5 linked regions of the Coturnix japonica genome follow. The protein of the gene in region 4 binds, or shares a complex with, the protein of the main gene of each other region. Links are inferred from orthologs where the notes say so. Each region holds a gene or a part of one and is shown on either strand. Other genes may lie near its edges.

Region 1 (5,654 bases), on a different chromosome or scaffold from region 4:
TTCAAATGCACCCATGAAACTGGCTGGTGAGCACAGCACCAGAAAGGCCACGGCAGCTGAGTGTACCTGGCTGGCTGCTTCCATCTGCAAGCTTTTCATTTGACCCCATCTAATACAGTTTCAATTTAATCTTTACAAAAATTAACATCTAATTTATCTATTCCAGCTTAAATGAAAGGACAAACACAGTGTACTAAAAATATACATACTTCTTTTGAAAGACCTGCTCTGAAATATACATGCGAACCTCCCACAAAGAAAACCCCAAGCAATCATTCTTCACACATTTTATCAGAGTGTTAATAATGCGATTTACATTGTCTGCTTTGCACGTCTGACAGCAATTTGTGCTCCGCTGTTTCTTCAGCACATTCAATTAGTTTGGCAGATAAGAAACAAGACAAAACCTGCACCTTCTTCATCATTAAAAGGTGTCAGAAAAATCTATTTGAATGAAGAATACATTACAGGGACAGAAAGCCAGTCACTGTTTGATGAAATAGAGGAGCACAAAGGACTGTGTAAGTTAAAATAGCCAACAGTGAGGAGAAACTGTCAGCAATAAATACCTTCTTGTCTGTTGCCTGAAGTTCTTCAAATACTTTTTCTGAAGTCCAGCTTTAAAGTAGAAGACAGAAGGTTAAAAAAAAACCCCACACCACAAACATTACATTTAATACTGTGAAACGATCCTTTGTTGAGGGGAGGAACACAACTGCTACCTAAAACTTACTTGGTTTCTAAATACTCCCTCGGGAGCTCTTCCACCTCCTCGGCACTTACTACTGATGTTCGTATTTCCTGCTCCACGAGTGTATCCACCATGACCCTGAAATAAGCCCAAACGGTGTCCTCCCACGTGTCACAAACTGGAAGAAGCTGCATATTTTAAGCAACAGAACAGAGCAAAATGTTAGAGATGGAGAACCATCAGAATCCAAACACACCAACTGTAACTTAGGATCAGTTTTTTTTCCTCAGGGACATGATTTAGCAGAGGGTTGTTAGATGGGGTCATATGGTTGGGTTGTGGTTGGACTCGATTATCTTTAAGGTCTTTTCCAACCTGAGCAATTCCATGACTCTCTGATTTGCCGTCTTTGTGCTAAAACTTCATATCCAGTTCCTTCTCCTAAGTAGTGATTTATTTACATACATGTACAAAAAGCATCGGTACTTAGAAGAAGGAGAGCACAGAAAATACCTGGAGGATTCAAACACATAAGAAGAACTACTTGAAACTATCAATAGTGAAATTTGGTTACACTGACAAATCAGAATATGGTGCATGGGCAGAAAAGTGGCTGCACAAGCTTTTAGATAACACTAACATTTCAAATCTAAAACAACAAAATCAAAACCGGTTGCCCTGAGGGTCAGCAACAATAATACTAAAAAAGTCTATTAAGTATATTTAATTAAGGCAGAAAAATCTTGCACAGACCATGTCTGTTATTGCTATTGTCATGATTACTAAGCTTTTGAAAGCACATTAAGAAGAATGTCTTTATGATGTTATTATCACATATAATAATTCACAAGTGCTGAACACCATGTACTAGGAGGCCTAACATACCTGCTTGAGGTTTCCACTGAGTGCTGCATAGATTGCTCTCTCGTATCTGTTGAATTGCTCCTAAAATAAACAGTTGAAAAATTACCCATGAGTTAAAAAGCACCAACACATCCTGATAAGTTACATTTTATTAGAGACTAATCCATTACTAAGTGTTCCATGCACTTGAAAAGTTGAAAAGCAATGGTTTTTCCTTTCCCATTCAGCTGAGCCCAGATGAAAACCAGCATCAGCAGCTTCACTCTCAACTAAACAAAACTGACATTTCCAAAGCCTTAAAGATTGATGCTGATTGGGCAGGTTTTATCTACATGAAAAATATATTATTTCAGAAGTCCTCTTAGAAACATGAACCGCAAATCCCCACAGACAGTAAACCAAGAAGGCAGGCTTACTTAAAATCATGTTATAGTTCAAAGAAGTTGAACATTTCACATGACTACCAAGCAAATTAACATTATCTTACCTCTTCAGCCATCCGCCAACAACATATTTTCCAAATGCATCTGTATGGATTCCCTTCAACAGGCCGGACCTCGTTTCCTGTTTGCAAAGGATAATAATAATAAAAACAACACTCCAAAACAAGGCTAAGACACCAGTCGAGATAAAAGTAATGGGATATCAGGGTTTGAAAAGCAGGAAAGCATTATGCCTTCCAGTCTCAGGTGTGCACAGCACTCAGACATGCTCATAAATCCTTTGCTAAATCTAGCAAAGTCCAAATACTATAAAACCATGTATTTTTCCTCCGTTTACCTTTGCAGAGCTCTTTAGTCCTATTATATCTCTTGGCTTCCAAGAGATCTTGGAATGCTTATGGACTCCATCTTGGAGTCTATAAGCAATAAAATGTTTGCTAGCTGGCTTAGTGCCTTTAAACTGGAATAGCTTTAAACTGAAAGAGGGAAGATTTAGATCAGATATCAGAAATCCTTAACTGTTAAGAGTGGTGAGGCACTGGAACAGGTTGAACAGTGAGGCTGCAGATGTCCTCTACCTGGAAGCACTCAAGGCCAGGCTGGATAGGGCTGTGAGCAACCTGGTCTAGAGCGAGGTGTCCCTGCCTGCAGCAGGAGGTTGGAACTAGATGGTCTTAAAGGTCCCTTCCAACCCAAACCATTCTATAATTATAGAAGGCAGAAGGTTCTCTGACATAGAGAAAACACGTACTGAGACATGAATGGTGGTGGTGAAGATCTGTCCAGAATTCCTAGACATCTGTTTTCCTAGCTGCTATGTTTGTATAAAAAAACACCCAAAAATTGACTTAACTATGTTAAGTGGATTCAGTGAACTCATACCTTCAATTAAATCATCTCATGCATGTTAAATGTGATCAACAGACATGGTAAAACATATTCTAGGCACAAGAAAGACCCTCAGTATTAAATAAAGAGCTAATTCTCTTTGCTAAAGAGAAAACCCTCTGCTTATTTTTACAGTTCTCAAATGCAGATGGAAGTAAATACCTCCATTTATGTTGGGATCATGATACAATTTCCATCCTTCCAAAGTTGCAGCTCTCCAGGCCTGACCGCATCGTTTGCATAAGCGCTGGGCCTGAAAAATAATAGATTTTCTCTGCAATCGACTTCAAGGGAAGAAATGCAAACGTTATTAAAATCATTCATTTGTGTAGGGATTGCACTAGGCAAAAAAGAACCTGAAACTCAAAATAACTGAAGAATTTCAAAGTAATGAAATGTAATCAGTGTGTTTCTCATTAAATGTTTAAGTTTTTATCAATACTTACTTGTAAGTATGATAGATGCATTACAGTCTCACCCTTCTGGCTTAAACAGCTGTTCCATGTCCTTCTGACAAGCTTAAAGTACCACCTTGTTGCTTAAATCCCTTAACCATCTCTTCACCTACTTTTCTAATTGACGTAGCTTTCCAAACCCCTTGTGTGCTGCTAAAAATACCACGTCTAACTTTCCCATGATATCAATAGCCTACTCACTAGAACAAAGAGATTTAATTCGAAGCTATTTTGAACAGCATGGAATGACAATGGTCAAGCTCACATACTATATTTTATCTATCGTAAGATAAAGGAACCAAGGCTGTTTCTTGGTTTTAACTCTTTCAACAGAGAATAAGTGACTCCATGCTTATCAGATAGTAGGAACACCGTAGTGCAACTGAAATTGAAGATTTATATTCATACCCCTCTGAAGCAACGTGGACTTGTGCCCATACTATCAAACAATGAATGGACAGGGGAACAGAATACCAGCAAGTGACCAACTTTCTAATCTAAGGTCTTAGACACAGGAATCTGAAGTACCTTTTCCTTTCCATTTTCCAAATGTCATATAATTGTAGAGCCTGGTATAAGACTGAGCTTCCAGCTCAGACCACACCACAGTACAGCTAGTTACGTTAAATCACAAAAGCTGCTTCACAACTGGACATCTTTACTTGGAACAGCATTAGGACCAGGACTGCCAGATGTTACTCAGATAAGGATTAAGGCAAAATATAGAATCATAGAATTACCCAGGTTGGAAAAGACCTTGAAGACCATCAAATCCAATTGCAGCCTAACCAGAACCCTAACTCTAAAAACCCTACACTAAATCATATCCCTGAGCATCACATCCAGACGGCTCTTAAACACATCCAGGGATGGGGATTCAACCACCTCCCTGGGGAGCCTATTCCAGTACCTAACTACCCTTTCTGTAAAGAAGTTCTTCCTAATATCCAACCTAAACTTGCCCTGGCGCAACTTGTATACGCATTGTATATTCTGTAGAGCAGCCAAGAAGCAGAATTATAGTAAAAGGGTGAATGGAGAATAGTATGCTTTCTAGAATATTCCAATACAGTCTATTTGAGGTTTTTCCTTACAAAGACACCTGGCCAAACAGTAAAGGTTAAAAAAAAAAAGGTAACATGCTATGCCATGACTTTCCCTCAGCTCCATTCAAATCATACAGCTTTAATAGTAAGGTTTTAAACAAGTTAAACTACTTAACCGAGAATATTCTTTCATTTTCTGAGGTTTACCTCATCTGTCATCCCTGCTCTGATAAGAGTGAAGAGATACTTCAGTAATCTTGCATCGTCTTCTCGATCCAAATCATCAAGTGGCAGTTTCTGTCTAATGGGAGCATCTGGATCCTGCAAGGAAAAAAAGGAACCATCCATCCATTCAAATAATGCGTATCCGCCTCTTCCAATGATTTCCTGTCCTGTTTTACAATTCAGAGTCACATTTTCATATTGGCACAACATGTTATACAGCCCACATAATCTCTAGCATGATGCTTCCTTGTCTTTATTTCCTTTATTCCTCTTCTGTCACTGTTCCTATCAACTGTAATCTCCTTATTTATCACTATGCCTCTGCCTCAAACCTCTCATCTTCCAGCTCTTCCCACCTTAAAAGCCCTCTCCCCTTCTGCTTATCAATCTACCTGTCTATACTCCTCCAGCTTCTCAGCAGCCTTTTCACACTAGTTGTACTTGCTTCTATTTAAAACAAATATATCAAGATCTGATAATTTTAATCATTATATTAATCATCCAGCGACTTCCAACTTTGGCATTCACTAATATCCTCTCATCAGCGACCTCCTTACTGCTTCACCATTTCTGTACTGATTTTCCAACTTAATGCCTTGTCATTTTTAGATACTACAACAATTTATAGATACCAAAAACTGCCCCGTTCCACCCATTTTTAGAAAACAGCATATGTGTTCTGTGCAAAGCATTTTGAATGGCTTTTATGCCCAAAACCAAGTCTTATATTTAAATAACACTTACCAATTCTGTTACCAGAGGTCGAGAACTTCCAATGAATGTACTTAACTGTCGCTGCTTCAGGATATGTAGCGTATTCTCCCTGGGAGCAGTGAAATGTTTTTGAGAGAAAGAAGGGATTAATAGCAAACATTTTAATAAGACATTAAAATTAGAAAATATTTCTGGATAATTGGAATAGGGTTACAAGAAAGGAATGCTTGGTTTGGTTTGTGCATCAATGAACAGTGTTATCGTACAATTTCATTAGAAGTACAATACTGGAATCAATGCACGTGGCTTTGACTTCTTTCAAAACCAC
Region 2 (6,127 bases), on a different chromosome or scaffold from region 4:
GTGCGGGTCCCTGACCCAGGGGTGCTTTGGGGGTCCCTGTCCCGTGGTCCTCCATCCTTCCCCTATTGGCCTCTCATGGAGACTTTCCTCCCTCCTTCTCGTGGGAAACACCCTTCCCCTGGCTCCTGTTGCACCCCCTCCACTTGCTCCTGTAGGAACCCCTCTGGACACCTGCTCACCACTTCGTAGGAACCCCTCTGGACACCTGCTCACCACTTCTGATGTGCTCCTATAGGACCCCCTATGGACAGCCCCCCACATCCACTTGTTCCTGTAGAACCCCCTCCTTGCTCTCCACTTGCTCCTTTAGGAACCCCAGTGCATACCCCCTCCTGGCCCCTGACTTACTCTGGTAGGACACCCCTATGGACACCCCCCTGTCCCCATCTTACTCCAGTTGCACCCCCTATGGACATTATCCCACCGCCCTATCCCCACCTCCCAACTTGCTCCTGTAGGTCCTCCTATGGACAGCTCCCCAGCCTCCACTTGCTCCCTATGGACACCCTCTCCCTGCACCCCACTTGCTCCTGTAGGACCCCAGTAGACACTCCCTCCCTGCCTCTGACTTAATGTGGTCTGACCCCCCATGTACAACTGCCCACAACTTGCTCCTTTCAGACCTCCTATGGATAGCCCCCCCCCCCTGACTCGCTCCTGTAGGACTCCTGTGTATGCTTTCCTGGCCCTGACTTGCTCTGTAGGTTCTGTTATGGAATGCCCCCATCTCCCCTGTCCACTTGCTCTTGTAGGACCCCCAATGGACACAACCCCCCCCACTCTCCCTGGAGGTGTCTATTCTGTGGAACTCCTCCCTGTACACCATAGAGCCCCCAGGATGATTCCTACCTTCTTCCTGGAAGCCCCCCCACTTCTCCCCTATGGAGAAAGAAGGGGAGAATCTCCAACACGCAGGATCCCTATGAACCCTCCCCACCCCATTGGAACCACATCCCTGCTCCGTGGGGATCCCCATTTCCACGATGTCCCCTGATCCTTCCCCATATACTACTACATCTCCAACCCCATCCTTCCCACCCCTAACTCTCCTTTCTCCCCCTCAGGCTGCTGCTCCTGCTGCCCCGCTGGCTGCAACAACTGTGCCAAGGGCTGTGTCTGCAAGGAACCAGCCAGCAGCAAGTGCAGCTGCTGCCACTGAGCAGCCCGCCTCGCCTGTAAATAGCTGCCATGCTTTGGGGACAGGGTGGGGGGTGATGGGGGCCACAAACACAAAACAAAGCTTATTTTTACATGTTTTGTACCTTCTGTGCTGATGGAGGAAATAAATGAGTTTGGCTGAGCCCTGATGCTGCTTGTGACACGTGTGTGGGAGCACTGGTGCTGGGGGCTGCGCCAACCCCCTGTGGGCTGTGGTTTGAGGGGACAGAGTGGTGTCGTGCAGTTGGGGTGCTCTGTTTCACAGCCCCTGGTGAGTGGGGGGCTCAGGGTGCCACATGGGGCAGGTGTGAGCACAGCCCGGCCGGCTCCTGCCCTGGGGGGGCAGACAAGGAGGGGGGTGGGGGCGTGGGAAGGCGCCTGGCTGCTCTTTTCCTTCCGAATACACCTGCCAAGCGAAAGTTGGCCCTACCTGTGCTGCAGGGCACAGCCTGCCCACACATGTCTGTGTGCTGTGTGCTCTGCTCCTGGCCATGCTGCCTCGTCCCATGCTCTGCGGGTGGGGACAGCTCGTGCCCTCCAATGGGGCTGGGAGCCGTGTGGGGTGGGTGGCCCTGAGTCCCCGGGCCCCTCGCTGGGGTGGTGCTGGAGATGGGAAAGGGGCTGCCCCGCTCAGTGTGTATTTGCCTTGTAAATCAGGGCCTGGGCTCCTTCCCAGCCGTGCCCCGGGTTGGAGCAGCCCCCAGGACGAGCTCTGGGGGCCGTGCCTTCAAACATGAGCGCTGTGGGAAGGTGTGAGGGCAATGTCTGCTGAGGGGAGCTGGGCTGAGGGGGGTGTGCGGCCCGGGGTCCCTGCAGGGTGGGTTTTTTAATTGAAATCAAGTTTTTCTTTATGTGAGTGAGTGAGCCTCACATCCTACATGGCACAATGGACACAAGTGGGGAATGGGGAACAGATGGCTGTGGGGGTTCAGGGCAGCGAACAGCCGTACTGATGGCAGTCTGCAGGCGTTCCGCTTTTCGTTTATAGTGTTTTCATCTCTGACCCCCGGCCCCGCGCGGCCGTCGGGCCGTTCCTCATTGGAAGAGGCGGCGGGCAGCCTCGAACCCGCGTCTCCCGGCTCACCGCCCCCATAACCACGCACAGCCCGCGCCGCCTCCCAGCGCCTCAATCACTTCTTGTCGCGAGACGAGCTGGAGGGGCGGGACTCAGCTCGACAACCAATGGAAATGCGTAGCGTCAGGAAGCGCGCCGGCTCGACCAATGGGCTGGCGGGGAAGGGGGAGAGCGTGGCCAATGGTGGCGCGCGGCGCGGGCGTGCAGGCGCGGCGGCCGGAGCGGCGGGCAGGTGAGTGAGGGGCGGTGGGCGCGGCGGGGATCGCGGTGCGGGCGGCCTCCGTCCTCCGTCCTCACATCGTTCTGCTCCCCGGCTCCTGAGCTCGGCGCTCCCTGCCCTGGGCGGGCGCTGAGGCGCGGGGCCTCCTGTGAGCGGGTGCCCTCGGGCCGAGGCAATGTCTGCCAGCTGTGCGGGCCGCTGCCGGGGGTCCGGGCCGGGCTGTGTGAGGGCTGGAGGCGGGGGGAGATGCACGGGGTGATGGCGGGTGGGGCCGACATGAGGGGACCGAAAGGATGGACTGACTGGGAATGGCTACATCAGCTCGTGTGGTTCCTGCTTGTTCCTGCGGTGCTGATAGCAAAGGAAAGATTGTGGGGAGAGGATCCGAGCTACAACATAAGGAGCGTGAGGGGAGTGAGCAGGGCAGGCGGCACGGCAGTGCAGTAAGACCTCAGAAACAGCTGGTTTTATTCAGTTTGTGCTGTAAAAGCTCTATGAGACCAGAGCTTGGGAGCCGCGATCAAAGGGTTGGTAACTTACACACCTGCCTGCAGCTGAAGAACAAAGCATACAGGACTGGGAAATATAGGGATGGCAGCTGATTTAATTTGTGGGTGGTGGAATGAACACTGAGTTGAGGAGTTCGTTGCTGTGTGCTCTGTTCAGGACTTTCCTACATCCAGGGCACTGTACCAGCTGGAGCACCACATGCAGCTTGGAGCCCTTACGTGTTTGGTTTTAGTGTGGCTTGTGCTTTTAGCTTAAACCAGGAGGTGGTGTGGCTCCCTTTGCTAGGTTTGATTAAAAGTCGTGTAGCAGAGGGCAATTTGTGGACAACATGTAATAGATGTGTGGTTTGCAATCGGTCCTTTTCCCTTATAGAAGTTGAAAATGAGTCAGGGACAGACCTTGGGAGCGGGAGCAGGTGACCTGTGTGTGCTGCTGGTGGGGCTCAGTTGTCTGTACCATTCCTGCCCTACGTGTGCTCTGTTTAACAAGCTCATTGACAGTTCCTGCATTCTTAGAAAGGAGCTTAATATCAGTGTCTAATATCACGGAAGTGGCATTTTTCATTCATTCAAGATATACATGTATGTATTTTGCCGCCTGCTCTTTGCTTTCATACTCAGTCACTTACTCTCTTCCTTCCAAAGGGAGCGGATGCTGACTTGTCACATGGGTCTCTGGAGCACTCTGAGAGGGTAACGCTGGATTTCTTCCTCTTTGTTTTGTCTTGGGAAGAATCTTTTTGCCCCTGGTTGGATTGTACTCTTTATCAGCTCTTCTGATTGCAGTGGGTGAGGCTTCCCTCTGAATTTTTAGTCAGTCTCTTTAAATAAATTAATTATAATTAGGTGGCACAAAGACTGTCAGTGTATGAAGTACAGCAGACACTTGCTTACACATGGGAGCTCTTCAGCTTGAAGTCTTTATGAAGCTCATATGGTGAAATGTTCAGCATGGCCGTATTTGGAGTAGGACAGCACTCTTCATCTGCTAGCACTGCAGGGCCTGGCTTTCCACGACCAGCCGGCATTTATGGTCAGTCTGAACAGAATTAGAAACCTGTCATCATTTCTGATTTCATTTTGGCTGAAATCCAGCCAGCTTGTAGAGTTTGTAACATCTACATGCGGTTTTAAATGTTGGGAAAACATTAAATGGGGCTTTTATTGGACAAGCAATAGCAGACTAATGCAGCAGCTTCTATTGATAAGTCATCAAAGTCGTTTTACAGAAGGGCTTTTTCAGCCCTGGCTTCTAGCCCTGGGTCGATCCAGTTTCACCGAAGTTAGTTTAATTTCTGGTGTATTTTCTCTCCCTTAGGTGTAAGTTGTTGCACATTCTGCAGCCAGACACAACAGTCTGCTGTCATTTGCTCGTCCCTGTGGCAGCAGTTTTCCATCTTGCACAGCGGCATTTGGAGTCAGACTGCAGCCTCCTGAATGCAGTAAATTCTGACAGCATGGAGACTAAGTAGTTCATGCTGTTACCCGGTCTGGATGTTTGAAGTCTGTCCCTTGGAACACGCTGCTGTTTGAGCTCTAGAGAAAGGTTTGAGCTCTCATTCCCAGTGTTTGGTTATAATCAAAGGTAGTTGGAGTTGCTTCAAATTAACAAGTTTATTCTATATTTGCTGAATTCAGTCTCTGTTTTCCAGAGTCATTACGGTTGTCCTACCTTGGCAGATTTGTGGGACAGCCTGTATATGGAATTGACTTGGGATCCGTGCTTGACAATTGCAGTCTGTGGAGCTATTTGTAGTCCCCTGACTCTCTGTGCTTTTGGTTTTAGAGCTCTGAGAAGTCAGTGCCTTCTCACACTCTTGGCTTTTCATCTTGTTCTTAATGAGAAGAGGAAGCAGACTGATTTGAATCAAATCAAGCTGAAGTCTGTGCTGCTCCTGCACTCACTGCTTCCTGCTTTCTAACGGTACAGGAGCGTGGCTGTTGTGGTCAGCCTCTGCCAGTGCAGGCAGCTTCTGCTGGGGCACACTGAGGTATCACAAGTAAACACTGGAAAGATGCTCTGTACTGCATTGCAGAGCATGGAACTGCTGCTTTCCACCACGCCCCTCTCTCCTCCCAGCCATCTCAGTGGCATGCTAGTCTGTTCAAACAAATCCAGACCCTGCTGTCTCTCCTGAACAATAGGTCAGTGCACATGGGGTTGCTACGTCCCCTAGCAGCTCCTGGTTTTCCAGAGGTGGATGAGGGATGGATGTGGAATTCTCTGTGCCTGGATGGAGGCTGTGGAGCTCATCCTGACACCCAGCGATCTCCATGTGTGATGGGCAGGGGTCAGGTCCTGTCCCTGATTGCATGTGTCCGAGTGAATCACCACGTAGTGCTTAGAAGTCACTTCTTGTCCAGGCACAGAACAGTGCTCTTGCCTCTTGAAGTTGTACTTAGGGACGGTGGAATACCAGGAATATGAAATAGTACTGTTAAAATTGCTTTAGTGTAGTTCAAAGGGGAAACCAAGAGATACTTTTGAATTTACAGGTGAGTTCTGGTTTGTAAACATGCACCGTTTTCTTTTAGATTCAAGGGCTCACTTGAACCGGTTCCTCTTGATTTTATTTTTAAGTTAAAGAGCCAGAGTTGGTGCTTGGGACCTAGTTGGGGCATGTGTATCCCCATATGTGTATATGTACCACAAATCTTCTTTTATTTTATATAAAAGTATATCATAGAATTATAGAATCACAAAATTGGAAAGGACATATAAGATCATCTAGTCCAACCGTCCTCCCTTTAGCATATCTACATAACACCACTAAACCATATCTCCTAGCTCCTTATATGTACGTATATATAAAAATAGATGTATATGCAAATGCTTTATAGCTGAATTAACACAAAAACTTTCACATGGATTTCTTCACTTCCTGTTCTTCCCCTTTTGAACTGTCACATAGTCACATGGTACCTGCATTGCTTTTTTGACAGACCATAGATCTGCATTCAGAATGTCATCCTGCTAGGCAAAGTGCTCTGAGAGCACCTGAAAGTATCTCCTTGATGTTTAGGTGTTTCTACCCATCCTCCCCAAGGGGACTTAGGAATGGTGGAATATCAGGAATACAAAACTATACTGTTTAAATGCTTTGTTATAGTTGATGCTGCCTGGGGAGGACTGATGGAACAGTGTTCTATTCTAGAGGAGCAGCT
Region 3 (5,654 bases), on a different chromosome or scaffold from region 4:
TGATGAGCTGGCTGAATGTAGTTTAACAATTGTTTAGTTGTCAGTTTTGCATGATTATCTGTGGTTTAAATATCAGAGCTGACCATCTAAAATGTGCATAGTTGCATCTCCTCTTGTTTTGTACAATCATTTTATCTATGGCACTTAGAGGCAGTGGTTTTTTGTTAGCTGATGTTGCCTTTATTCCCTTTTATGCCTTACTGCCATAAATGTAGAGTTTCTTAAATTTACTACTGTCACACGTCATAGTTGTTTTCAATGAAAATATTTAAATATAAATATGAGTGATTTTTGTATATATTTCAATCTACATTATATATAAAATACATAAATACATATAAATATGAAAGTGAAAACAAAATCCTTATTGCTTTATGAGCTTACATGAGATTGGATCTGATATTTTGCTTTCAAGTTTGCTAAGCTGGAGGAGGCATTCCATCTGCAAACAGTAGCAGATGTAAGTTTGTCTTTGCACAAACAAGGATGATGTGTTTTTAATGGTTTGATAAAAGTCATAAATACCATGTCCTGTAACATGAAACTAGCAGGTACATAAATATGAAGATATTTGCATCTGATTCCGGAAGTGTCTGAATTAATCACCGAAAAAACATTTTTGTAGTTTGGCTGTCTTTTCTGTCACAGCAACTAGCAAATGGATGCAATAAAAGGAATAACCAACAGTAACAAATCCCTTCAGAATTAACATTTCACTGTGTATAGTTGCATTATTTTCATAAACCTCAAGCTTTGATTTTGTTGGTTTTTTGTTAGTGTGATTTTGTATCTAAAAGAGAAATTACATGAGAATGTTTTTAATTACTTCGTGCTGTTTCAGTGTTCTCAGAAAGTCAAAATTCTATCCAGATCATAATATTTAAAATCAACAAATTCAAGTGCCTGGTTCTGTGAGAGCTGATGGTTTTTTTTATTTTATTTTTTTTCTGAAATGCATTTTTCAAATAGAAAAGGCATGTTTATACTTTCAGTTTGTATAGAAAAGCCTATTGAAAGCATGATATAGTCTAAATTGCCATGTAACTTTTCAACTGTGCCTGATATATGCTGAAGAATAACTCAGCTTTGAAAAGAGAGTAGAGAAAGAAAGGCCAGATAGCTGCCAAACAAGTACGCATGCATACTGTGAACTGAAATAGTTTAAAAATGAAAGAACAGATGAAATCTGGAATATATATTCTTTCTGTTACCTCAGTCAGCCTGTCATTCTGTTTACCCTTCAGAATTTTTTAGTCTAACTTCAGAATCTTTACAGTGACAGACTGGATATTGGACAGAGATCCACAAGAAGAAATACTCAAGGCATTCAAATTGTTTGATGATGACGACTCTGGTAAAATAAGCCTGAGAAACCTGCGTCGTGTTGCTAGAGAGCTGGGTGAAAATATGTCTGAGGAAGAACTGCGGGCTATGATTGAAGAATTTGATAAGGACGGAGATGGCGAAAGTAAGTCTTAAGCATAGACGATGTGGGATTCTTATCTCTTAATTTTCTCCCTATTTTAACATAGCTTTATCTTGAAAATGCCTGAAATTGACAATTTTCTCTTTGTTTTCTTTCTAAATATCTCTCAGCTCAAACTTAGCTTATGTAAAATGAAAATAGTTTTTGATAGTTACTAGTCCTGAAGAAGCATGGTGGAGTCTAAAAGTCAAATAGATTTCTCACCTTCACTGAGGCTTAATCAACCAGCCCATACCTATTCAAAGTTTGGTTAAAGTTCCTCTGGTTAAATAATTAAGTGGTTCATGGAAGTGTCTGTGTACTACAATAAAATTTGGTATCTGTATGAATTAAAATGGCAATGAGTAAAAGGATTAAAAGGCCAGAAGAAACTCTTTTGATCACCTGGTCCAATATTTCTTAAGCAGTAGCGTGTCACTATTGTGATTTCAGCTTGTTGGTCAGATACAAAGAACTATGCTACTAAGTTGTGATGAACTTAACCCTGCGTCCAAGCAGGATCACCTAGAATAAGACTCTAACATGTCTCTGTACTTAGGAGAGCTGAGGAGTGTGATGTGGAAAATTCCTCTGAGGAAACAATGTCCATACAGTGTGAGCTACAGAAGAGCTTTATTAGCTAGATAAAGAATTAAGTAACAGGCACTGTTTAGGGTTGTTGTTTGTTGTTCAGCTCCCTTCTTTATTTCCTCCATGAACTTAAATCTTTGTATTTAAACTAGAAGCATTAATACCTGGATTTCAGGAGCCACTCACTTAAGACAATCTGCATATACTCTGCATTTCTGAGTCATAGAAACCATTGTGAGTTTTTCTTTCAGGATGATGACTCTCATCTGAGATCTCAGAAGTAGTTCAACTTTTTTAGTTGCAAAACATTTCTATTTGTCAGCAACATCTACTGGAGTCTAAACTCTGATAGAGAAAAAAACAAAATTCACAGCACCTGCCTTTTTGTCTGTCTTGTGACAGATACTTCAGTCTGTGCTGCTTGTGGTAGGTGTTATTTCACACTTGATCATACAATTGCAAGCTTGTTAATTGTTGGCCTGTACTGTTTTTGCATCTACTCAAATATTGAAAAAAAAAATACAAACCTTTCTCCTCCCTCCCCTGTCCCACCTCCAAGAAATGGGGGGAAATGAATGAAGAACAGGACTTCTAAGCTTAGTCAGCACAGTTTAAATGCCAATGTTGTTTAATTTTAGTGATGCAAATAGGGAGCATAAAGGCAAAAATACTAAAAGCTCTGTGCTTTTGTTGATACTAGACTGTTAATCTTGACACTGTTTTTACAAAAGTCTGTATAATGTTAAGAAGACTCTTACTTTTGTTTAGAAGATGCCACCTCCTGATCTCACTTCATTTCCGGAGGCTATGTTACCTTAGTAGAACCTGCATAATTCTGATGTTCTTTTATGTGCCAGATGTGTCCTTCCACACATTTATTGCATTGGTATCCACCTCAGTAGCTATACAACAGAGTATAACAAATATTCTAAGTGGACAGCTTTATTTTAAGTTTATTTTGCTTTTAAAAGTAGTGGTGGCACTGCCAATGTTACCTTTTACTTATTTCTATTAAAGACTCATTTTATTTGAAAGTGGGGCTGCAGAGGGGATAGCAAGTAGAATAGATCAACCACAAGCATGTTTTGTTCTCTGTTACCCTTCTAGAGCTGCCAACTCAACTGTCAGAATGATAATCAGGGATGATTTTGGTCATATCACTGTTTGGTCAGTAGAAATCAATGTAAACTTTTAGCTCCTTCTAGGAAGATTTTAGTTTTTGGGGGGATCAGTACTAAGTTTCTGAGATTGTTCAGTTCATTTTCCTTATTCATCCATTAATTTTCTTTTTTAGAGAAGTCTGGAATAAGATTGAATGTGGAAGATTGGTAGCATGATGTATTTGCATAGTTCTGTTCCTTATGGTTCTGTTTTCTGTTCTCTAAAGAAAACTAGTACTGTTTCTAGCTTTTAAGATTCAGTCTCGGAAAGTAAATAATCTTCTGAGTCAGTGTTCCATGTAGTTTCAAACATCTGGGTCATGTAACAAAGTCTTGCTCTCATTTATTTCTCCTTTGTTTCCTGCCAAGGGGGAAAAAATCTCTAAGTATCACTTGGTAGCGTTCTATATTTTTCAGTAGTTCGTCTGTAACTGGGCAGCACATTAAGGACTCCAACTTACTCATCTAACATTCTGTGAATGGAGTAGAGAAAAAAAAAAACACCAGTACCCTCAGTACATTGTGGAAATGTTTCCTATTTCTATTTTAATTGTTTATCCTGTTTTTTTTCATGAGTCAAACCACATGGAACCTCAAGCCTGGTTTTAATTTTAGTCATGTGTCATAAAATGAATAAGAAGTATTACTATTTAAGGGAAGTGATGCTTTTGTTTGTAAAATATTAGTACCTTCAGCAGACACTTGAATCATACCTTAATCGTGATGTTTTAGGACAAAGCTCAATTTCTGTGGTTACTTACTTGTCTTGCCAGATATGTTTGTGGATCCATTTTTTTTTTTCTTAGAACAACACTGATTAAATTTCATCTCTGAATTTATGTTTAATGTGGCTTGCAGAAAAGCTGCTTTGGACTCCAAATATATCCTGCAGATAACTGCTGTTGGAAATGTTCATATACACAGAGTCTACTGCTCTTTTCTTCAAGTAAACAGTGAAAAAAGTAATTGTTGTAAGGTAATCTGTATCTGTTGTCAGTTTATGGGCTGGTTCAGCCTGGTTCCATGAGTGATGGGGTGGAGGGATCTGCAGATCCACATCTCTGGATAAGTGAAACAGGGGACACCAAAATAATTTAAAACAGTGGCAACAATCTGAGGAGAAACAAACTAATTTACTAAATATGGTATTGAAATGCAAGATAATGTGTTATACAGTATAATTAGAATTGAAGCTAATGAATAAAATATAATGAGAGAGAGTATCTGAAAGCTGTAGGCCTTACAGTAGTGTTGAAGTGATGCGTGCGCTCAGGAAAAGCAACAGGGAGAAGAGCCAAAGGAGAAAAGAGACATCAGATGACCTTGCCAGGGGCTTTGTCTCCACTCTTACCACAGAGTCCTCCAGGTTATGCAGTTATTCCAGACAGGCACCTGGAACTGGAGCATTAACACTTTAACTCCCAGTGCACTACATGATGTGTGTGGAATACTGATAACCAAAAATTGTAAAGCCATAACATAATTTTGAAAGCAAGTTCATAGACTTTGAGGTGTATTCTCTTTCCAGTTACTATTCTATGTATAGCTTAAAACAGTCTCATAAACTCAACAAGTGAAAATAGGTAGCAGCATTATGATTGTTGACCAATATAAAATAATAGCTGTTTGATTTAGTTATATGCAGTAAAGCCTTAATTTATAATTCTAAACGCTGGAAAATAAACATCATACTCTTGTGGTAACTGACCATGAATTGAACTACCCTTGAAAGTAAAGCAATAAAGTAGAGCCCAAATAGGCCCAAACTGGTCTGGCTTTTTCTTTTTTCTTTGCTTCTAATCTTGATTTTTTTTTTTTTTTTTTTTTTGATGGTTTATATGAGGTTATTGCTAGCCACTACATTGTATGAACAATAATGCATTGAAGAATAATTGACATGGAAAAGACATGTCAGTACATAAGAGAGAACTTACAGGAAGATGTAATTATCTGAAATCAAAGTGTGAAAAATTCAACAGGTATAGAAACTCATGAATTGATTTAATACTATTTAGGTAACCATGATAATGCTTTGTAAGTCATGCAGGGAACATGTTGCTTCTGTGTAATGCAACATGGTGTAGCTGTATGGTTGACTTGACATTTTAGAGTTGATAGTCCTAAAATAAAATGAATTGTTTCATGTTGTTTTTAAAAGTGTTGCAAGATGGCAGATTTATTTTTTTAAATGTTTTTAACATGAATTGATTTAGTTTTCCTCTGGCTGTAGGTGTAATTCCTGCTTTGCAATGATTTGTTCAGGAATAACTTGGGCACATTGTTCGGGGCAGATAATTGTCAAGGACAGTTTGTCATACATCTCTGTTCTTTTCCATATAATTGGCTTAATATGCTCATTCCACACTACAGTAATTAGTTCAGAGTGAACATGTCCATTGGTTAACTCTTTTACAATGTCTTTGTTTTAACATATGAGT
Region 4 (6,285 bases):
GTCATTGTCCCTTCAAAGGTCTTCTTTGTGCCCGGCCATTTGATCTCCCCCATGGTACTGCCAAAAACAGAGGCCATGGTGTCTCCTACCCCTACCGCCAGCACCCCAGCATAGGGCACCAATGCTCCTGCCCCAGACAAAGCACCTTTAGGGGCACAAGATCTGGGGAACAACCACACTGGGAGGGACATGCCAAGAAGAAGATAAATGTGAGTCAAAATTAGAGGCCCACTGTCTCTTTCATCCAAGAAGAGAGACAGCAAATACCGAAGAGTTTGGCCAAACGGTTTGATCCTGAAGTACCGAATATACTCTAAGAATATGAACACTGCCAGACACAGGACTGCAGCAACATGGAGAAGCTGGAGGTCATAAATTAGTCCAGGAACGTAAGTCGCTACAACAATGAAATGAAAATACTTCCTGGTTATGGTTGAGGCCTGGTGTTTTTTAGATTCAGACGATCTCTTGGCATTCTGGTAGAAAACAATGCCGCACGCTGAAGCAGCCAAAAAAGTCCAGTATACGAGAAGGTAAACCCTCGTCTGTGTCTGAAACAAAAACTGGAGCAGCCAAAACAAAGGGTTCCTCCGGATCAGTCGGTAAAGCCAAGGCATGATGACCCCTAAGCCTAGCACTGCTGTCATCATGTGGAAAAACATGGAGGAAATCCACGTACCTGAATCCATGAAAATGAAGAGAACAGTGAAAAAAAGGCCAAGAATAATAACTCCAATAACTGCCACCAGAAGGAAGAAGTCTATGGGTTCACCTCTGCCCTCGATTACATTCAGTGAGCGTTTAATGAGCTGATTGAGAACAAAACTTATACCTCCGAGAACTAGCAATGCTTCTCCAGGAGTAAAACATCGAGGCAGCAGGTAAAGCAAGATCATACTGAGGTAGACAAAAATTAGCAGCACTTCTAGGACCTCTATCACTTCTGAAACAGTCAAAGAGTGCTTCATGGTATAGATAATTATACTGCCAGCAACACCAGTGAGTATGCAAGTGTTGGTGGGCACAGGTTTTGTGATGCCAACAGCAATTACAGACAAAAATAGAGCAACCAACATCCCAGTGGAAGCTACAACTATACCAAAGCGTTCAAAGTACACGATACCAGCAGCCTCACACCTCTCCTTCATTGCTATCCCCAGCAAGGGGATGACCATGCTGGCAGGCAGGAGCCCACTGTTCGCTGTGGTGCGGAACTGGAACACAGCTCCCCCCTGCTGCAGCAGACGGTCCCATTTGAACTGGACATAGAAAGCCTGGATGGCGAGAGCTACAGCACACCAGGAGTAGCGGTCCCACACCACTGCATGTACACACAGAACGATGCTGAAGACGATCAGGGATTCCACCAGCACTGGTTTGTTTAACATGGTTCCAGTCCAATGTGGCTTTGGCTTTCAAGATCTTTCTTATGGGTCCTGATCTTCTCAGTAGTTGTCCACTAGAAGGAATTCTTTTATGCTACTGTGATTCCTATTAAAAACAAACAGACAAACGTTGTCAGAGATCAGAAGGGATCAGCCAAAACCATTATCCCTATTGGAGAATCCAAGCTGTGCTGACAGAAGCCAACTGCTCAATACACGGGTATTCAGATATTGCAACAGAAATGCTTCAAATTACATCTTTGACATGAAATATGAAGCAAGCAAGTCACAACCATTCCCAGATGGCTCCACTGCAGCAAGCTGCCAGCTGGGCTACAGGACAAGGAGCAGTTTCACCACCTGCGATGCAGATCTTCTGTTCCAGCCTGCAAAGGCTGCTGACGTGCAGGTTTGCAACACGAGGTATTGCACTGCTGCGTTACTTTCTGGTGCCTGCCAGGTAACGCTGCCGGTGCCTAAGGGGCAGGACGGACGGGAAGGGACTCCTCAGCGGAGAGTGGGCTATCTGCTAAGGGCTTTAAACTAGAGCACGGCAGATTTCGGTTAGATAATAGGATGAAACCATTAATAACGAGGGCGGAGAGGTCCTGGGAGCTGTGGGTGCCCAAATCTGGCAGCCCTCAGGGTCGGGCTGGACGGGGCTTTGGACAGCCTACAGCAGGGGCCAGGCTGCAATGGGCTGGGAGCCTTCAACGCATCCCCAGATCCCGACAGGAGGCGCTGCCCAACGCCCCCCAATAGGCCGCGGCCTCCCCATTGCCCCCCCATTGCCCCCCATTGCCTCCCATTGCCCCCCCATTGCCCCCCATTGCCCCCCGCTCCCCGCAGCGCTCCCCTACCTGGCTGGACGCCGCCATCTTGGCGCTGTCGCCGGTCACATGACCCAGCGTAACGGGGAGTGTGGGGGGGGAGCGGAGGCGGAGCGGCCGCCGCGGGTCACGTGAGAGGGGCAGCGAAGATGGCGGCGGGCGGGCTGTGCGCGAGGTGCGGGATGCGGCCGGGACGGAGAGCTGGGGAGGGGGCGGCGAGCAGCGCTGAGAGCGAACTGCTGCTGATGGGGGGGGGCGAGGAGCACGGCGGGGAGGAGAGGAGGGGCTGTGTGTGGGGGGGGGGACACGGGGGAGTTAACGGCCGAGGGGCCCGCGCCGCTCCGACCCCGCCTCCCGCTCCGCCTGGGCCCGCCCCGTCCCTCGGCTGAGGGGCCCTGAGGGATCCGGGTGTCTCTATTGGGGGGGTCTCTATTGAGGTGACTCCATTGAGGTGTCTCTATTGGGCTGTCTCCCTTGGGATGCCTCCAGCCCTCCTGCTGCTTCGGTTGGTGCAGAGCATCGCGGTGTAGCTGTGGAAATCCCCCCTTTGGCCGCCTCAGCAGTCGGGCTGTGCTCGGTGGGCTCTGGCCGTGCCCTTAGGGCGGCTCTGGGCGGCAGATCCCTGCGGGAATGTGGCCATTCGGCCTCGCTTCTTTGGGAGCCCTTCGCTGACACCCGGCAGCCACGTGGGAGCTGTAGGAAGGAAGCCCTTTGATGGGATGAGCCCCTTCAGATCGCTGCTTTTCCTGCCCTTTTGGTCGTTTATTCTGTCTCTCCGTTTAGCCCCTCGGTGTTTAAGTTGTATTAAAGCAAAGCTCACACCCCCAATGGGGCCAAGAACAGCTCTATTCCCTATGGCTGCAGCAAGGGAGCTTCCCTCCCATTGCTCTCCCTCTGATGGGGTGCAGGTCCCACACAGGGAAGTTCTCCTATTGAGTTTGGAAGTAGAAAGAAACTGGTTGATGGATGCATTGGAAGTAGCGGCTTCCATAAGCCATTTTAATGGCACCACGTGTCAGGCGTTACAGGTGATCTGCTTTTACATGGGTTATTTTGATGATGCCAATCTGAAGATAAGTTATTGGGTGTTCTTCTTTAAAGAGTGAGGGGAGTTGTGGTGTTTTCACTCCTGATTTGTATTACATTACTGACAGATGGTGAGTTTTAAGCTTGCTTGGCACCTGTGCTTCTGCAGAGCTGTTGTAGGGACACTCATCTTTGCAGTTGCATTTGCCAGGGTGAGGTGTTGCTTTGTAGCACCTTCCAGCACGGGTTGGTTTTCCTATAAGTTTCTCAGGAGCAGGAAGAAACAAGAAGCTCAGGTGCATGTTCTGAAGAGCTGAGGTTAGCGGGACTTCCCTTTGAAAACACGTTGTGTTTCTTCTCTTTACCTGGTTTTTATTCATCTTTGAATGGAGGTAGAAAACGTTAATAATAATTGTGCTAAGTAGAAGTCTGAAATGGTGTTTGTTATTAAAACAGTCTCCATGTTTTCTCTTTGTTTACAGGAGCAGCAGAGAATTGTGGACAATTCTCCTGGGCAGATCAGCTTTAAGAGAACCAGTAAGTCTGTGTCTTGATAAGCCTGTTCACCTGTCACTTAATGGACTCCATGACCAAATCCATCACTTGCACATCTGTTTGAATACTAGTTTTGCTGCTTTTTCCTTGTCCTCAGTGTCAGAGTGTGCCAGTGCCCAGAGGCTGGAAATGCAAATGTATCAGAACCTGGACCAGCACCTTCTCTTTCTTCTCCTTTCCTAATGTTAGGCAAAGCAGCAAGCTTTCTCCTACAACACTCACCTTGAATCAGTCTGAGTCATAGATGCTGTTATTTGCCTTGTGTTGTTCCTGTCTGTGTGATGGTGGAATTTCTTTGCTTTGCTTAAATCTGCTACTGGACTGGAGATGTTGAGGAATCTGTTCAGTAGTATTTGGTTCTTTTTTTAGGCACAGATTGCATCAGAACTGAACAAGCACTGGCAGAGATTGTTAGAAGGGCTTTCATACTACAAGCCTCCAAGGTACAGTAATTGTCTGATTGTAGAAATTAATGTCTAAAATGGAATCTAATAATAAGTAGAGGGGCATACTGAATATTTCTCTCTGATTTTGTAAAAATAGATTTTTTATGGAAAGGAGCAACAGTGTGAAGTGTTTAATCCAGACTATTCTAGGGCATAAAATACAGGCCAGAAAGAAATAACAGTAGCTTCTACTGTCATTACCAATGTTGGAAAGCTCTTAACCCATCCTTACTTCTGCCCAACTGTGGAGCCCAAGTGCAAGTCTGCACTCTGCAGCAAAGTGTCTTCTCTTGACACTTACTCGTGTCAGAAAGATAACTGGATCCATTCACTGGAAAGGATAGAGTGAATATAGCCTGTGTTTATTATACTGATAAAGTAGTGAACAGTGTTGAGTATTGTCTGGTAGGAAAACTGCTGCTTGTTGTTGTATGACATATTTGAAAGGCCACTGAGAGCAAACAAGTGTTCAGTTTAAACTGGTAAAATTGATAACTTGGAAATTAAGCCTCTTGAGTTCTTTCCTTGGGGTTGCTGTGTTTTTAATGATAACTGTTTTTTTCTGTAGTGCAACTTCAGCAGAGAAGATAAAAGCTGATAAAGATGTAGCTGCTCCACTAAAAGAGCTGGGCCTGAGGGTCAGCAAGTTTTTGGTGAGTGAAGGTGCTTTTCTGATTATTATTCTTATCCTTGTGTTTTCTTCATGCTGAGGAGAGGCAAAGTTAAGTTTCTTTCAGTTCAAAGTAATCTAAAGAAGGTTACAACTACCCATAGTGGCTCTACATCAAATTTTCCTGAGGTTGTTAGTGACTCTATGAAGTGATTTGTTTTTCCTGGTTTACATTCCCTCCTGCTTTTCGGAAGTGATCCTCTTTGGTCTCGGGCTCTTTCAAGACATCTTTTGCTCAGCTGAAAACCAATATCCCTTAAGGTATCTGCCACATTTGAAAATGCTGCTTACCTGCAAGGTTACATTCCTTGTGATTCCCCTTTGGGAGTGAGGGTTAGGTGACCAGTGGCAGTATCTTTCTTTAAATGACTGTGGTGCTCCTCTGCTGAGGTTTTAACTGGCTGCACCTAAGTGACATCAAGGCTTGTGTATTTTGCTTTCAACTGAAGTGCTGATTGAAACAAGCATCATCCTGAAAGGCAAAAATATGCTATTTTTATTTATTCTGAAGAGAAATTCAACCTGAAATATTTGGAGAGAATCTTTAATGAATTCAGTTACCTTTTGTTCATTTCAGAACATCTCTCTTTTTTTTTTTCCAGGGTCTGGATGAAGAGCAGAGCGTGCAATTATTACAGTGTTATCTTCAGGAAGATTACAGAGGAACGAGGGACTCCCTGAAGGTCCTTAGCTCCCATTTATTTCCTGTTCACTATACACCTGTCCACAATACCAGTAATCTGTTGATGAACACGATCATATGCAACCCCACATTCTGAATTGGAAAAGACTGTAGTTTGTGTTCTCTGAACCTGCGGTGGCCAATTACCACTGTACAGACGTGGGACAGCAGAAGTTCAGGTCTAACTTTCTGGTCCTCTTCCTGCTTGAATCTGGAAGGATTTGGCTCATCTCTGTCTCAGGAGCAGAGGAAACCTACAGATGTATGAATGAGAGTGGGTGGAGATGAAGAACAAACATTCACAATTAAGTACTTAGGTTTTGTCATTTTGGAAACAGTCTTTCCAAAAGAAATGGAAAGAAATTTTTTCTTATTTCTTTCATTTGTGGAGTATTTGTTGTTTGTTTTTGATGGTATTTGTCAGTAGGTATTTCTGCGGTGGGTAATCATTTTGTTATGCTTTGCTTACAGACAGTTCTTCAGGATGAAAGGCAGAGTCAGGCTCTGATGTTGAAGGTTAGTCATTTCAGCTTATATTTTCTATTGAAAAGATCTGAGAACTGACACTTTGTATTCAGAAAGCCTCGGGGTGATGGCAGTTTTAGGATTAATGCTGGGGAGTTCAGCTGTCAGGCAAATGCTTCCACATATTCCAAAGTGTGTGGGTTTGTATGTTTCTGTCTGAAGGGAC
Region 5 (5,654 bases), about 660 kb from region 4:
TTGTTATGTGCAACACAAAGCTTGCAGTAGTGCTGGGTCTGGTTTCAGGTTGGCTATGTTACAATAGAATTTCATGCCGTATCTTGAAAACCTTTGCAGTGGAATCCTTCCCAAACGTTACTTGGCTGGTTCATCATTGTGCTTAAGCGAACATTCATTTGAGATGAGCTGAAACGAAATGAGGTTTTTATTTCCTTTTTATGAAATGCAAATTAAAGGCATGTTCATTCTGTGACAGGTTGGAGGGGTGACAAATATGAGACAGAAAGCTGGTTTTGGTTAGGAGCAGGTCTTGTGGTGAGACGTATCTGGCTTCATTGTGCTAGTTTTGCATCTGTGTTGTTATGGAGAAGCCACTTAATTCTCTTTGTGCCTTACTTCTTTCATTTCCAACCTATAAAAATCAAGTTAATTCTTTTCATTATCATGAGGGCTGCAAGTGTTCACGAATGCTTTTGTGAATCATGGTTTGTGAATGCTGGTACTCCAGGAGCCATGTGAATAGCCTACAAGGATTCGATCACCTATGACTGTTAGACAGTTCAGCATTGTGAAGTGGGAGCAAATGACTCATCTTCTGGAAATGAAGTTTGAAATAAGATTTGTTTTGTACAATGCCTGATGTTTGTACCACCCTTTTCTGAAAAGACATGGCAGTGCTTTGAAAATGTTATGGAAAGCCTTATTTATTGTTCAGAGCTAGGATAAAATAGCCAGGCCAAACCCTGTACGTATTCCACAAATTAATAACTAGGTTTTCTCTATGTTGCATTGTCATGCTGGTTAAATTTTCCAGGCAAAAATATGGGTAGGTGTCACATGGCTTGGACTGCTTGAACCCAAAGGGTCTTCATCATCTTCTACTGAAATGGCAGGTTCTGAAGTGAATTAAAATCTGATTTTTTTTTGCATGGCAGGAGATTCGACGCTTGCACCAGTATGTAAAATATGCTGTCCAGGATGTGAATGACGTTCTGGATTTGGAATGGGATCGGCACCTGGAAAAGGAGAGAAAGCAGAAGTAAGTAACTGAAACTGGAATACAAGACTGTGAGGATCTTATCAACGAATCAGTCACTGCCTCTCATCAATAGACAAAACCCTTTTTCTGTTTAACAGTACAACCTTTTTTTTTTGTGGGGTTTATGAATAAAGTTTAACAAAGACAGGTAAGAAGAGAGCTGTAGGTTCAGATTACTGGGCTGTGGAAGTTTGTTACATTTTGCTACATCTCCTTGCCTGGTAAAGGAGTGCTTGTGATAGAAAAACCTGTAAAATAAGGTGTGTAGGGACTAAATGCATCCATTGGTGGAAGCCAATGAAACCTCCCAATCTTCTAGTAAATGAGCTAAACACATTTATAGCATACCCAAAGGAGAAACATGCATTTGAGACAAGCAGAATATTAGGGATATGATTTAACTGGGAAGTATTGGTGATGGTTGGACTGGATGATCTAGGTCTCTTCCAACCTTGATAATTCTGTGATTCTGCCTTTTGTGTTTAAAACAATCTTTGTTTGACTTCATGGGGTAGAACTGGCAGGATCTACCAAACCACTTTGTATGTTCATGCCTGCTTGTAGCCAGATCTGTAGAACCATTTTGATCTGTGTTTCTTGGTCTTATGTCTCAAGGCGTCTGGTTGTTCCTGAACGAGAGACTTTGTTTAACACCCTTGCTAATAACCGGGAAATAATCATTCAGCAGAAGAAGAGACTACATCATTTGGTGAACAGCCTACAGCAGCTCCGACTGTATAATCAGACATCTCAGTGGAGTGTTCCCAGTGATACATCCCCTCTTAGCAATGCTCAAAGGTATGTGAAATGCAAGTTCCTGAGTGGTGTTGCCACTGCTTTCTTGCCCTGAGCAGTATTCAGATGTGTGTCCACCGAGAAATGATTGTGGATGTGATGTGTGAGAACAGTACATCCTAGAAATGATACAAAACTATGCCCAGGTAATGCAGAAGCTCGCTTGTATTTGTGTGATACGTTAACACTCATCACAAATTCCCCCTTGAAAGTTTTATTTTTTTATAATAGCATAATCAGGATAATTGAACCATTGAACCTCTGGACAGAGGTACTGCTGTTTGTCTGAATTCAGGGGAAGAAGTGAATAACTTAAGAATTTCCAAAGTAAATCAAGATACGTACATATAAATAGCATGGTATCTAGAGGAGCCAGCTGTTCTTCCTGATAAGTTAGTACTTCTAGTGATTCATTTTGGCCTGTTTTTGTTCTTAATTTGTTTGATTTCTTTCTGCTGATCCTGTTTAATTGTTTTGCTGTGTCACAGTTTTGACAGTGACCTTGAAAGCCTGCGCAATGCCTTGATGAAAACTACCTTGGAATCACGCGTCAAACCCCCACCTAAAGTACCTGGTAATGTATTCTTCCTTCCTGGTGTTCACATGTAAATGTTAACGTTGTTAATGTTGGTATAGACTTAATAACTCTCTTCTGTTTTCCAGCTAAATTGCCCCCTGTGAAACTGACACAGTTGAGGAATTTTCTATCCAAGAGGAAGACTCCACCAGTTAGGTCTACGGCTCCAGGTAAACCTTTAGCTATGTTAAAAGTCCAGAATGCTTTGTAAGAGGGTGAGTTACCTCCTGTGGGAACCAATCCTGAAATTAGCTTAGAGCAGCTTCTCGTAGCCTCTGCCCTTACTTCACCCTTGCTGCTCCCTCATCTGCCCTGAGTAAGAATTTACTTCAGTTACAATCTTACCAAAAGTTGCCTTTGCTGGCAGTTAGGAAGTCGTATCCTAGCAATGTAGGATTAAAGCAAGCCAGTTAGAAGAGCATCCTAAAATAGGATGTATGTCTTAGCTGTTAGGATGGATGACTCTCTCACCTTAGTGTACACGTGTCTTTTATTTCTGTTGTTGTAGCAAATTTGTCCCGATCTGCCTTCTTGTCCACAAGATACTATGAAGATTTGGATGAAGTAAGTTCAACATCCTCAGTTTCCCAGTCCCTGGAGAATGAGGATCTGCAGGCAGCAGACCAGGAAGAGGAGGCTGCTCCTGTTCAAGTCCCTCGTCATGCCCCTGTGGTCCGCACTCCATCTATCCAGCCTGGTTTGGTGCCTCAGCCTCCATCCTTTGGGAAACAACACCCCTCCTTGGGTGGTACTCTATGTGAGTTATTTTGCAGTGTTTCTGCTATTCTGCATGTATTCCTGTCAGTGTCTTTTACCACTGTATAAATTGCTGCTGCTTCAAATCCTGGAGAAATGAGTTTGCAGCAGGGAGATTTACACTGCCAAATTCCCAGAAGCAGTTAGCAGAGTGGCACTGTAAGCTTGGGAATACACTGAAGTACCTAAATGCACTAAAGGACCTTGACTCACTGCATTTTGACTGCTTGTTACTTATAGATCATACTGACCATAGATGGCACTGTCTTCCTTTAGTAATTTGTCTTATTTTTTTAAAATGCTGCCCCTCAAAACAGAAGGCTGAAGTACTTCTGCATTTGATGAGTGTGCACAAGGTTAGGACTTCTGAGCCCCAAAACAGTAAGAACTAAATGTGCATATACTCAGATTTCCTTGTCTGCAGTCAGAGAACTCGAACCCCAAAATGAAAAGTAAGCTGTCAGTAGAAGTGACTACAGCAACAAACTGAAAGTCATCTGGTGCACTGAAATAACAACTACTGCAATGTACATGCTGAATTCATTGAGGTACTCAAACTGTCTGTGCTAGAAAAGTGTCAGCTGTCTTATCAGATGGAAGCTGTGAAATCACAGGAACTGTAGTTTGCAAAGGATTTCAAGTTTTCCTGATTTTAATGGATACAGTGAACTGTAATATTTTTTTTGTTTCCTGTTTAGTGCCTACGTCTTCAAACAGAATCATCCCACAAGGGGCAGACAGCACAATGCTTGCAACAAAGACTGTGAAACATGGGGCCCCTGCTCCCACTGTCACTGTTCCAGCACCACAGGCAGCTGCTGCAGCAGCTCTGCGAAGGCAGATGGCCACCCAGTCCCCAGGTAAAAGGATGGCTGATTGCTCAAGTCACCCTTGACTGGGCAAATAGAAACTTACATGGATTTCTTTTGGAGTTACTCGGAGACACCATATTGATTGCAGTATTTAATATGGGGAAGGTATTTACCACATTTATTTATTTATTTATTTATTTTCTTAAAGCTGTGAGCACCTCCTTGACTGAATCAACTCTGAAGAATGTTCCCCAGGTGGTGAATGTACGAGAACTCAAGACAGGTGCTTTGACTCCAGCTGTCTCTACAGTAATAGGGTGAGTGGGATCACCCTTTTTTTGATGGTAGCCTTCGCTAGTGCTTGCAATAGGGCGCATCTACCAGTGTGTAGAGCAGTAGTCTGATATAATGTCAGTGGTGAGTGTGTTTAGAAGTGTGTCATGAGTTTGTGGGATGAATAGAAAATATGTTTTCTTTCCAGATCAGGATAAGCTGTTAGTAAATCCTTGAATGAACAGACAAAACCAATATTATCATCCTTCATTTGTCTGTGAAATATGTTTTAATTCATTTTCTCTTGCAGAAATCTAGCTGAGTTTTATTGTGAACGCACACATCTGAGATTTCCAGTCACTGATACTATTAGGTCTCCTTCTGCAATGGAAGTGCACCTCTGTTGCTGCTTGTGGTCTGTGGACTTAAGCTGTCTAGATGCTGCTCTTTCTACTTCCTCGTCAATTACAGATATTATGTACTCTGGGGTCATGCCTCTCCCATCTGTTCCCTGACTCACCCTCTGGCAGAGGTAGAACAGCACTCTTGCTTCTCTGAAAACTTGTCTTAAATTTCTTGACATCAGACTTTTGACTGAAGGGCTGAGTGTTGATTGCTTTGGAAGAATACAGAGCTGTAAAGCTGTCATCCGCATAAGGAAACTATGAAAGTTGGCTTCTGGTATTTAACCTTGAATTTAAATTTTCTTCTGAGTTAGCTGTAACTTTCTGCTGCTTAGAAACAACAGCCAGCTCAGCTCATTCCAGAGATTTCTGTCTTATCACCAGGCTCTGTCACCAGCCGCAGAACTAGTCCCTTTCCCTCTGCTGGTAATGACCTTGAAACTATATTTGCTTGATGTTCCTATGAATGCTTAAGACCAAGATAATGCATGGCCGTTTCTGGGGTGGGGAGACAAGGGCATTACTGAAAAGTCTGAGCAAAGTTGAGGTTACTGCATTTGTCATGGTGCCAAGGCATTAAAAACAGGATAAATCACCATGTATGTCTGATTAGAATTCCCTGCGGAGCTGCATATTCTTTATCCAGATAAGTGTGGACTAGGCGTGCAGATCTTGGGACAATTTTTGTTACATTATTTCTGATTTTCATACTTGTGTGTATACTCTTCATTGTCAAAGAAGAAAGTAAAATTCCTTCGGTGTAGCTTATCAAAAAGGGAGCAGTCTTATGCTGATGGAGCATAGAGTTCCTCACCTGCTATAAGTGCATTGTCTGTAAATTTGGTTTGAGATCTCCCATCTGCATCAAGTCACTAATAAAAACAGCAAAGAGTAGTGGCAGTACATAGATCAAGACACAAGTGAGTGATACATATCAGAGATTGATGTTCACTTGGACTGTAGCTAAATACGCTTTTTACTTTGAAATAGTTTTAGATTGGCAGGATAGATTTGAT

Evidence for each region.
Region 1: NUP188 (region 4) and NUP107 share a complex: the UniProt entries of both Homo sapiens proteins name them as parts of the nuclear pore complex. The link is inferred for Coturnix japonica from reciprocal best matches to the Homo sapiens genes NUP188 and NUP107.
Region 2: NUP188 (region 4) and NUP93 share a complex: the UniProt entries of both Homo sapiens proteins name them as parts of the nuclear pore complex. The link is inferred for Coturnix japonica from reciprocal best matches to the Homo sapiens genes NUP188 and NUP93.
Region 3: NUP188 (region 4) and CETN3 share a complex: the UniProt entries of both Homo sapiens proteins name them as parts of the nuclear pore complex. The link is inferred for Coturnix japonica from reciprocal best matches to the Homo sapiens genes NUP188 and CETN3.
Region 5: NUP188 (region 4) and NUP214 share a complex: the UniProt entries of both Homo sapiens proteins name them as parts of the nuclear pore complex. The link is inferred for Coturnix japonica from reciprocal best matches to the Homo sapiens genes NUP188 and NUP214.

What each region holds. Positions count from the first base shown.
Region 1 is NC_029516.1:31,998,545-32,004,198, reverse strand, and holds part of NUP107 (nuclear pore complex protein Nup107), read right to left. Parts: intron 5,436-5,654; coding exon 5,357-5,435; intron 4,709-5,356; coding exon 4,595-4,708; intron 3,140-4,594; coding exon 3,049-3,139; intron 2,120-3,048; coding exon 2,043-2,119; intron 1,637-2,042; coding exon 1,577-1,636; intron 880-1,576; coding exon 734-879; intron 619-733; coding exon 570-618; intron 1-569. UniProt on the Homo sapiens protein: Plays a role in the nuclear pore complex (NPC) assembly and/or maintenance. Required for the assembly of peripheral proteins into the NPC. May anchor NUP62 to the NPC. Involved in nephrogenesis.
Region 2 is NC_029526.1:557,886-564,012, forward strand, and holds the start of NUP93 (nuclear pore complex protein Nup93), read left to right. Parts: upstream 1-2,354; 5' UTR 2,355-2,465; intron 2,466-2,745; exon of another isoform or gene 2,746-3,655; intron 3,656-3,666; exon of another isoform or gene 3,667-3,751; intron 3,752-4,280; exon of another isoform or gene 4,281-4,547; intron 4,548-6,127. UniProt on the Homo sapiens protein: Plays a role in the nuclear pore complex (NPC) assembly and/or maintenance. May anchor nucleoporins, but not NUP153 and TPR, to the NPC. During renal development, regulates podocyte migration and proliferation through SMAD4 signaling.
Region 3 is NC_029547.1:53,325,060-53,330,713, forward strand, and holds part of CETN3 (centrin-3), read left to right. Parts: intron 1-1,276; coding exon 1,277-1,468; intron 1,469-5,654. UniProt on the Homo sapiens protein: Plays a fundamental role in microtubule-organizing center structure and function. As a component of the TREX-2 complex, involved in the export of mRNAs to the cytoplasm through the nuclear pores.
Region 4 is NC_029532.1:4,031,638-4,037,922, forward strand, and holds the start of NUP188 (nucleoporin NUP188 homolog), read left to right. Parts: upstream 1-2,318; 5' UTR 2,319-2,364; coding exon 2,365-2,390; intron 2,391-2,663; exon of another isoform or gene 2,664-2,694; coding exon of another isoform or gene 2,695-2,720; intron 2,721-3,723; coding exon 3,724-3,778; intron 3,779-4,165; coding exon 4,166-4,239; intron 4,240-4,810; coding exon 4,811-4,895; intron 4,896-5,514; coding exon 5,515-5,595; intron 5,596-6,065; coding exon 6,066-6,110; intron 6,111-6,285. Other genes in the region: DOLK (dolichol kinase), read right to left, coding at 1-1,388. UniProt on the Homo sapiens protein: Component of the nuclear pore complex (NPC), a complex required for the trafficking across the nuclear envelope. Required for proper protein transport into the nucleus.
Region 5 is NC_029532.1:4,690,166-4,695,819, forward strand, and holds part of NUP214 (nuclear pore complex protein Nup214), read left to right. Parts: intron 1-917; coding exon 918-1,021; intron 1,022-1,636; coding exon 1,637-1,819; intron 1,820-2,304; coding exon 2,305-2,390; intron 2,391-2,479; coding exon 2,480-2,563; intron 2,564-2,901; coding exon 2,902-3,150; intron 3,151-3,847; coding exon 3,848-4,009; intron 4,010-4,169; coding exon 4,170-4,278; intron 4,279-5,654. UniProt on the Homo sapiens protein: Part of the nuclear pore complex. Has a critical role in nucleocytoplasmic transport.